2 linked regions of the Sus scrofa genome follow. The protein of the gene in region 1 purifies or fractionates together with the protein of each later gene. This does not show direct contact. Links are inferred from orthologs where the notes say so. Each region holds a gene or a part of one and is shown on either strand. Other genes may lie near its edges.

Evidence for each region. The genes of interacting proteins can lie anywhere in the genome.
Region 2: the proteins of PAXIP1 (region 1) and PAGR1 purify together in Homo sapiens (affinity purification with mass spectrometry; 6 studies listed by BioGRID and IntAct, with this or other methods). This does not show direct contact. The link is inferred for Sus scrofa from reciprocal best matches to the Homo sapiens genes PAXIP1 and PAGR1.

The regions. Positions count from the first base shown.
Region 1 is NC_010460.4:3,090,843-3,094,382, reverse strand, and holds part of PAXIP1 (PAX-interacting protein 1), read right to left. Parts: intron 3,003-3,540; coding exon 2,486-3,002; intron 2,013-2,485; coding exon 1,918-2,012; intron 1-1,917.
Region 2 is NC_010445.4:18,051,306-18,055,482, reverse strand, and holds the start of PAGR1 (PAXIP1-associated glutamate-rich protein 1), read right to left. Parts: upstream 2,805-4,177; 5' UTR 2,329-2,804; coding exon 1,847-2,328; intron 1,685-1,846; coding exon 1,602-1,684; intron 1-1,601. UniProt on the Homo sapiens protein: Its association with the histone methyltransferase MLL2/MLL3 complex is suggesting a role in epigenetic transcriptional activation. However, in association with PAXIP1/PTIP is proposed to function at least in part independently of the MLL2/MLL3 complex.

The DNA of each region.
Region 1 (3,540 bases):
TCATTCATTCCCCAAACTCTTCAAAGAAATGTAACGCCCCCTGCTGCCCTCCCTCCAGGAGCCACGGACTCGGCCCAGAGCTGGACTGGACAGACGTGGAGGGCCGGGCGGGGGCCCTAAGACAGAGCCGCAACAGGAGGGGCGGCGCAGTTCCCTCTCCACGGTCGCCACGCTCTCCAGCGAGGCCCTGGCGTGCCACCCTGGCAGAGGGAGGGAGCCGAGGCCGGGAGCAGCCCTGAGAATTTCCAACCGGCAGAAGGCACAGCATCACCCTTCCCGACGCCGCCCCGCCCCACCTGCACCTGCCTCCACGATCTCCCCTCCCCTCCCCCTAGAGCCCCCGCACCCCAACCACATCTGCCCCTTTGCAGGCCTCGGGGAGGGGGACGTTTGGACTTCAGGGGCCTGAAATTGCCTCTGTCCCACGGCCTCACTGACGGACTGGAGAGGCTGCTCCAGGTGAGAAATGCGCTGCCCTCAGAACAGTGCAGACATGACGCCACTGCCGTCTGGCTCCCGGCCGTGGTCCAGCCAGTGCTCTCCAGCCCTTCCCACGCGGACAGCACCCTGCAGCTGAGAGCTGTCTTCTGGCCTTCCTTTCCTCTGTCCCCCACTCCTGTCATTTAACAGTGGGCCTTTCGGACTCATCCTTTAATTGGAGAACAAAACCAACCCCCGTACACCGAACCTTTGATCTTTGGGTTTTGCTCTGTTTCTTTTTTAAGAACGGTTTCTGCGTATCACCTTCTACACGCCCACGATTTGGGGCGGGCTTCTGCCGCTGTAACCCCCCAGCCTCACCCCTGCCCACAGCCCTGGCCGGTGCTCGCCGGCTCCAGGGTCTTCCTCACTCCTCCTTCACCATGGAAACAAGCCGATCCCCTTTCTGAATGCCCGTTTCTGTAACAGGGCATCTAAGCGTGGTCTCGGGAGGCATGGCCTGGCCTTGGTCTCCTGCCTCCTGGACCTGCTCCCTCCCCTTTCTGCCCCTCCACCCCCATTCGGTGCCACTCCCGGGGACCCCCCCCCACGAACTCCTATTCCTCTACGTCCCTGGAGACTGTTCTCCAGCTGACCCCCCTCCCCAACCCCGCAACGACATAGCTGTGTCCTCCCTGGGCTCTCCCTGCACCTGGCACGCTGCTCACCGCCGTCTGTGCAGCCCACCCCGCCCCGGCCTCACCTGGCCTGGCACAGGGCAGGCCCTGAGACACCAGGGGTGCTTTTGGAGAAGCACCTGTACAAGGTCACTTTTTAACAGAAAATCTGACTCAATCGGATTCGTGGCACCGCAGGAAAAAGCGTTCCCCTTTGCTTTTCCTCAAAGGCCACCGCGCAAAGCCATTACTCAATCGATGGACGACAGTCCTGCGCCTGGCCTAGAGGACGCCGGGGTCCCACCCAACCTGGGACTCCAGGGCTTCTCCCACTCACCCTTGGGAAGCAGAAACGACTGAGGCACCTGCGAGCCGACAGCCCCCCATCTGAGGTCACCAAACCTCAGCCGAGTGATCTGTGTCGCTTAAATTCTAGGCCTGAGATGAATCTTGAGAGAGTCCTGGAGTTCTTGCCGTGGCTCAGAGGTAACGAACCCGACCGACTAGGACCCACTGGGACAGAGGTTAAGGATCTGGTGTTGCTGTGGCTGTGGTGTAGGTGTGGCTCGGATCTGGGTTGCCGCGGCTGTGGTGTAGGCCGGCAGCTACAGCTCCAACTCGACCTCTAGCCTGGGAACCTCCATACGCTGAGGGTGCGGCCCTAAAAAGACCAAAAAAAGAGAATGAGAAAGTCCAACATTTCCCCCTTCTACCTAAGACCACTGAAGCCCAGAGATGTGCTCCGCCCAAGGTCACAGAAAACGTGACGAGAAGGACCCAGGACACAAGCAGAGCAGACACGTACGGCCCACGACCTCACCCTTTTCCAGGTGGCCAGCAGCTGCTTGTCGGACATCTGCTCCGGATAATCCACAATGGCAAACACACAGCCCAGGAGGAAGCCTTCCTCTGGAACTACGAGAGAACGACAACAGGAGACGTTCGTCAAACCCTGAGCCCAAGCTGTGCGCGCACAGACACCAACAGCTCCTTCCGCAGGGAGGGTGGCGGGCGGGCAGGCGGGCGCAGAGGAAGGGGTGTCCTCCTGGCCGCGGCCTCTCCGCCGGCCTCTGCGCACATCTGCACACGCCTGTGCACGCCTGCAATGCTGCCACACGCCCGTCTGTCCACAATGACGAGACCAACGAAACCAACGGCTCACGCCTGAGCCGGTTCTCGCGGCCCCAAGTTCCACGAAAACCAATGTTCACCCGAGGGCAGGCGCCCCCAAGTCCCCCAGAGATGGAACTGCCCCTTGTCCTAGGAAACTCCCGTCCCCCACTGTCTAGAATGATCCTGACACAAATCCTTAGCCCACCTTCAAACGCTCTCAAAGCACTGACGTAAGCGTAAGACTTGGAAGAGAAAAGGCAGAAATCCACACTAACTCTCCACTGCTGGGTCGTGTCCAAACAGCTGGTGCTGGTGCTGCGGCGGCGGGGGCTGCGGGGGCGGCGGCTGGTGCTGGAGGGCCTGGGGCGCCTGGGTCTGCGTCTGCTGCTGCTGGTGCAGGCGCGCGAGCTGCTGCTGCTGAAACTGTGCGAGCTGCTGCTGCTGCAGCTGGTGCAGCTGCTGCTGCAGGGCCTGCTGCTGCGGGAGGGGCTGCAGCTGCTGCGGGAGGGGCTGCGGCTGCTGCGGGGGGCGGTGCATCGGCTGCTGTGGGAACGGGTGCTGGGGGAGGGCCTGCGGCGGGTAAGGCTGCTGTGCGGCGTGTGGCAACTGCTGCTGCAGCTGCACCGCCTGTTGGGGTGGCAGGTGCAGGACGGGGTGTGGTGGTGGCTGGGGCAGATGCGGCTCCGTGGTCACCTTTACTTGGCTGAACAGCACGGCGTTCGAGTGGCCCTGCTGGCTGTGATTCACCTGCTGTTCTAAACTTTTCGTTGGGGCCGAAAGGGACTGCAAGATCTAGAAAAGAAAAATCACGCAGAGCCCCAGTCAACAATTGCTGACACATGCGGATGCCTGGGAAGCATCAAACTGGACGCTTCGAAACACCTGCAATTTTCTTCTGGTCGTTAAGTATCACCGATTTCGATGAAGTCAATAAATCTGTATTTTGAGACCACCAAAATCCGAAACTGAGGAAGCAAAGAGGAATGAGCAAATGATTCCAGTTAACAGACACCCCCCACCCCGGCTGATGTGTTTGAGGGCCGGGGGAGGGAGCAGCGAAATGTCCCACGTGTTCCTCAGGCTGTGGGGTGACGGGTCTGCATGTGCCTGGCAGTGCCCCTCCGGGGGCCCCTTCTCCCGCCCACGCCCAGACCCCCTCTGGACCCGAGAGCCCCAGGAGCGACAAGCGTGAGGGCACCAGTAGGGACTCATCTGAGTCAAGCCTCCTCTCCACAGCTGCCCCTTCCCGACAAGGGACAGGGCCAGCAGAGGACAGTAAGACCCACACCAGGGTGAAGGCACGGGGCACCCCGGACAGCAGCTGCCAGCC
Region 2 (4,177 bases), on another chromosome or scaffold:
CCCGTCCCTCTCCAGTGAACCAAGTCACTGCAATCAGATTCTTAATCCACTGCACCAAGCAGGAACTCCTCCTTCGGAGAATTTAAAACAGAATTGGGAGTTCCTGTCGTGGCACAGCAGCAACAAATCCTACTAGGAACCATGAGGTTGCAGGTTCGATCCCTGGCCTTGCTCAGTGGGTTAAGGATCCAGTGTTGCCGTGAGCTGTGGTGTAGGTCGCAGATGTGGCCGGATCACGTGTTGCTGTGGTGTAGGCCAGGGGCTGCAGCTCCAATTGGACCGCTAGCCTGGAAACCTCCATTTGCCACACTTGAGGCCCTAAAAATAAAATAATAATAATTTAAAAAAATTTAAAACAGATTTGAGCTGACTTATGTTTTGAAAGAGAGACGGCTTGGATCAGGGTGTCACATTAAAGACAGAGACTAGTAGCTGAATTTGGAAATGTGGAGGCAGACCTAACAAGACTTGCTGCTGGTTTGAATGTTGACATAAAAGAAAGAGAAATCGGGAGTTCCCGTCGTGGCGCAGTGGTTAACAAATCCGACTAGGAACCATGAGGTTGCGGGTTCAATCCCTGCCCTTGCTCAGCGGGTTAACGATCCGGCGTTGCCGTGAGCTGTGGTGTAGGTTGCAGGCGCGGCTCGGATCCCGCGTTGCTGTGGCTCTGGCATAGGCTGGCGGCTACAGCTCCCATTAGACCCCTAGCCTGGGACCCTCCATATGCCGCGGGAGCGGCCCAAGAAATAACAACAATAACAACAACAACAACAACAAAAAAAGACAAAAGACAAAAAAAAAAAAAAAAAAAGAAAGAAAGAGAAATCAAGAATGGCTCTGAGAGGAGTTCCCGTCTTGGCTCAGAGGTTAACGAACCTGACTAGTATCCATGAGGATTCGGGTTCGATCCCTGGCCCCACTCAGTGGGCTAAGGATCCGGTGTTGCCATGAGCCGTGGTGTAGGTCCCAGATGTGGCTTAGATCTCATGTTGCTGTGGCTGTGGTGTAGGCCAGCAGCTATAGCTCTGATTTGACCCCTAGCCTGGGAACCTCCATATGCCGCAGATGCAGCCCTAAACACACACACACACAAGAGAGAGAGAGAGAATGGCTCTGACGGTAAACTCTAGGCATGGGAAGCTAGGTCAGATTAGGAGGTGTACGCAGTAGCATAGGGATGTGGAGCTAGATAATGACCAAGAAGACTCGGACTTCTGGGATGGGGGTGGGGGGGAAATGAGACCAAAGGAATGGGAAATATGATAGAATTACCTGTGATAATCTTTTAAAAGAAAATTGGGTACCACCTAGACTGGAAGGATGGCAACCACTGAGTGCACGCTCTCCCCTGAAGCTGTGATTTGTGTAGCTACCAAGGAACCAAGCAGAGACCTTTTTTTTTTTTTTTTTTTTGACCACACCCATGGAATGTGGAAGTTCCCAGGCCAAGGTTCGAACCTGTGCCAAAGCAGTGACAATGCTGGGTCCTTTGCCACTAAGCCATCAGAGAACGCCTCAAAGACCTCTTTCAGGGAGTCCCTTTCGGAGTAAGTGGGAACAGAGGCCCCCCCGCGCCCCCCATTCTCCACTCTTGTCTGTACCTGGGGTGCGCCTCCGGTCAATCAGGGAGTCCTTTGGTGTCATTGGCTCATCATCAAAATCAAATTCTGTGGGCATGTGCGGCCTGGGACAGGTGGAGAGAGAGAGGAGGGTGAGGGAGATCCTTCCAAACCTCCACTGGTGCTTCTCCCGGGCCTTCGGGCTCTTCCCCTCCCTCTAACTTCCCATGCTCCTGGGTCCCACCTCCCTCCCTATTTCCTCCTGGCATCAAGGAAGCAATCCTCACTTTTCCTCTTCCTCCTCTTTGGCCTCGGGTTCCTCATCAGATCTTTCCTCTTCACTCTGGGCCTCAGGCGTAGGTGGTCGGCGGGGCAGGATCTCTGCCTGAAGCTCCAGGGTACCGTGGGCAGCCAGCAGTTCATAGAGCCGTTGGATTTCGGAGGGAGGTGGCATCCAGGGCTGCCCATCCTCAGGCAGCTCCACCTCTTCATCGCTGCAGGGCACGCACCAGTCCTCGGAGTCTCCCTGGGCGGGCTCTTCCCCCTCAGTGCTGGGGGCTTCTCCCTGCACTTCCTCGGCCCTGGACCCCTCATGTTCGGCCTCCTCCCGGCCTCCTTCCCCCTCTTCCTCGGCTTTATCGGCCGAAGCAGAGGGGCCTCCGGTGTCCTCCACGGCCAGAGCCTGGAGGCCGGAGGTCACTTCCCCTTCTTCAGACAGAGGCGCCGCCGCGGTGGCTGCCGTGTCTCCATGACCCCGGACAAGGGACATAAGCCACTAGGGAAGGGGCCCAGCGATGCCAGGAGATGCAGGAGTACCAAGCCGGGGATTCCCCCCGCGCCCCCTCCCTCCCTCCACTCCCTCCCAAAAAAAGGGATCACCCCGGGGTTCGGGGACTGTTTCGCTAACCAATCAGGCTCCAACAGCGGTCTCGCGACCAGACCACCGGTTCCCAGGAGGGGGCGCTCAGTCCCCTCCAAGGACCCCGCCCCCCACAGATCGAGATCCGGTACTCCGAGGTTTCCAGCGAGCGGCAGAAACCACTTTCCGGGCCGGAGACGGGCGGACCCGCTCTTCTCGCCTCCGCACTACGCCGCTCTACACCTGGATGCGGCGTCCTCTCCCCACACCTCGAAGGTCCCCCACCTCAGCGGCCGTACGCACCTGGAGCTAAGACCCGCCTCCCGGGCCGCGCAGGGTCAAAGTACGCAGGCGCACAGATACGGCGCGGGAGGCTCCGCTTTAGTCAAAGCTACTTGGGAGAGGAAAGCAAGGGGAGGCTTGCACATGCGCAGGTAGGCGCTCGGGAACGATAGGCTTCGGCCCACAGTAAAGATGGCCACGGGGGTGGCGCATGCGCAAATCACCTAGTAGGTTGTGCCCCAAAGGAGGCTGTACCTCCGGCCCCGCGGCGCAGGCACGTAAGGACCAACTGAGGCTGGAGGCGAGTATCATGCAGTCTCCGTTTATTGGTGTTTCAGACTCATGCAGCATCCGGCATACAAAAAGGGAGAATCAGTTTGATGTATCCTTTTTTTTTTTTTTTTTAAAGACTTTTAGGTTTTTTCCCTACGCTTTTTTTTATATTAAAAAAAACACAAAAAAACCAAAACCAAACCAACTCCGAACCGCGTTGTGGCTCAGACCCTGCCTCCCCAGTGAACTGTCGCGTGCAACAAACCTCTCTCGTCCTCTTAGAAAATAATCGCAGCTCTCTCCGCCCCTTCTTTGCTCCCTGCAGCTGGGAGCTTTGGTCCAATTTTTTCTGTTCTTACAGTTACAAAGCACGTGAATGACTCCAGCCGCGACGCCTTTAACAAACCGACTGGGTTAAAAAGCCCAGGCGGGGCAGGTCAGCTCGGGCCGACCGGGGAGGGTTCGAGAGCCTCGCCCCTCCCTTCTACCAGGTGCTTGTTCGGAACAGTACCCGCCACCCCTGCACAAATCTACAAACGAGGCCCGGCTTGCCAGCTCTGCGACCCCGAGGCACCCCGGGGGTGTCTGGGCCTGGGTAGTCCCTGCAGAGAACAGTCGCGAGCCCGGGCTAGGGAGCCCTCTCCAGACACCGCTCCCCTCCCCCAGCCTGATCTAAGTGCTGGAGTTTTTGCAGAATAAACGGTGGAGGAGGGTGGAGGAGAGGATGCAGAGGGGAGATGAGGAGGCAGGAAGAGGAAGGGGGTGGAGGGTGTGGAGAGGGAAGAGGAGATGAATGAGGAAGGGAAGGAAGAGAGGAGGGGGGGGAGGGGGGGATGCTGAGACAATAAAAAGTTGGGAAATGGAGATCCGGGATGAGGTGCAGGGGACTCGGGAGGGTGTAGTGCAGGAAGGCCGCAAGAGATGCAGGAAGGCTGAGAGCAAAGAGAGTCTGGGAGATGGTCAGGGAGGTTTCCAGAAGTGCAAGGAGGTTTCCAGAAGTGCAGGGAGGTTTCCAGAAGTGCAGGGGTAGGGAAGCCAAGAGGCTGAAGGGGAGGCAGGCAAAAGTGCAGGGAGGTTGGACACAGAGCAGGGAACAGGGAGGCCTACGGTTGGCAGAGGAGCCTGGCAGGATGCAGGAGCAGGAAAGAAGCTGTAAACAAGGCTGCTCAGGCTCCATTGGTCCCTATGGGTGCGGGCCTGGGCC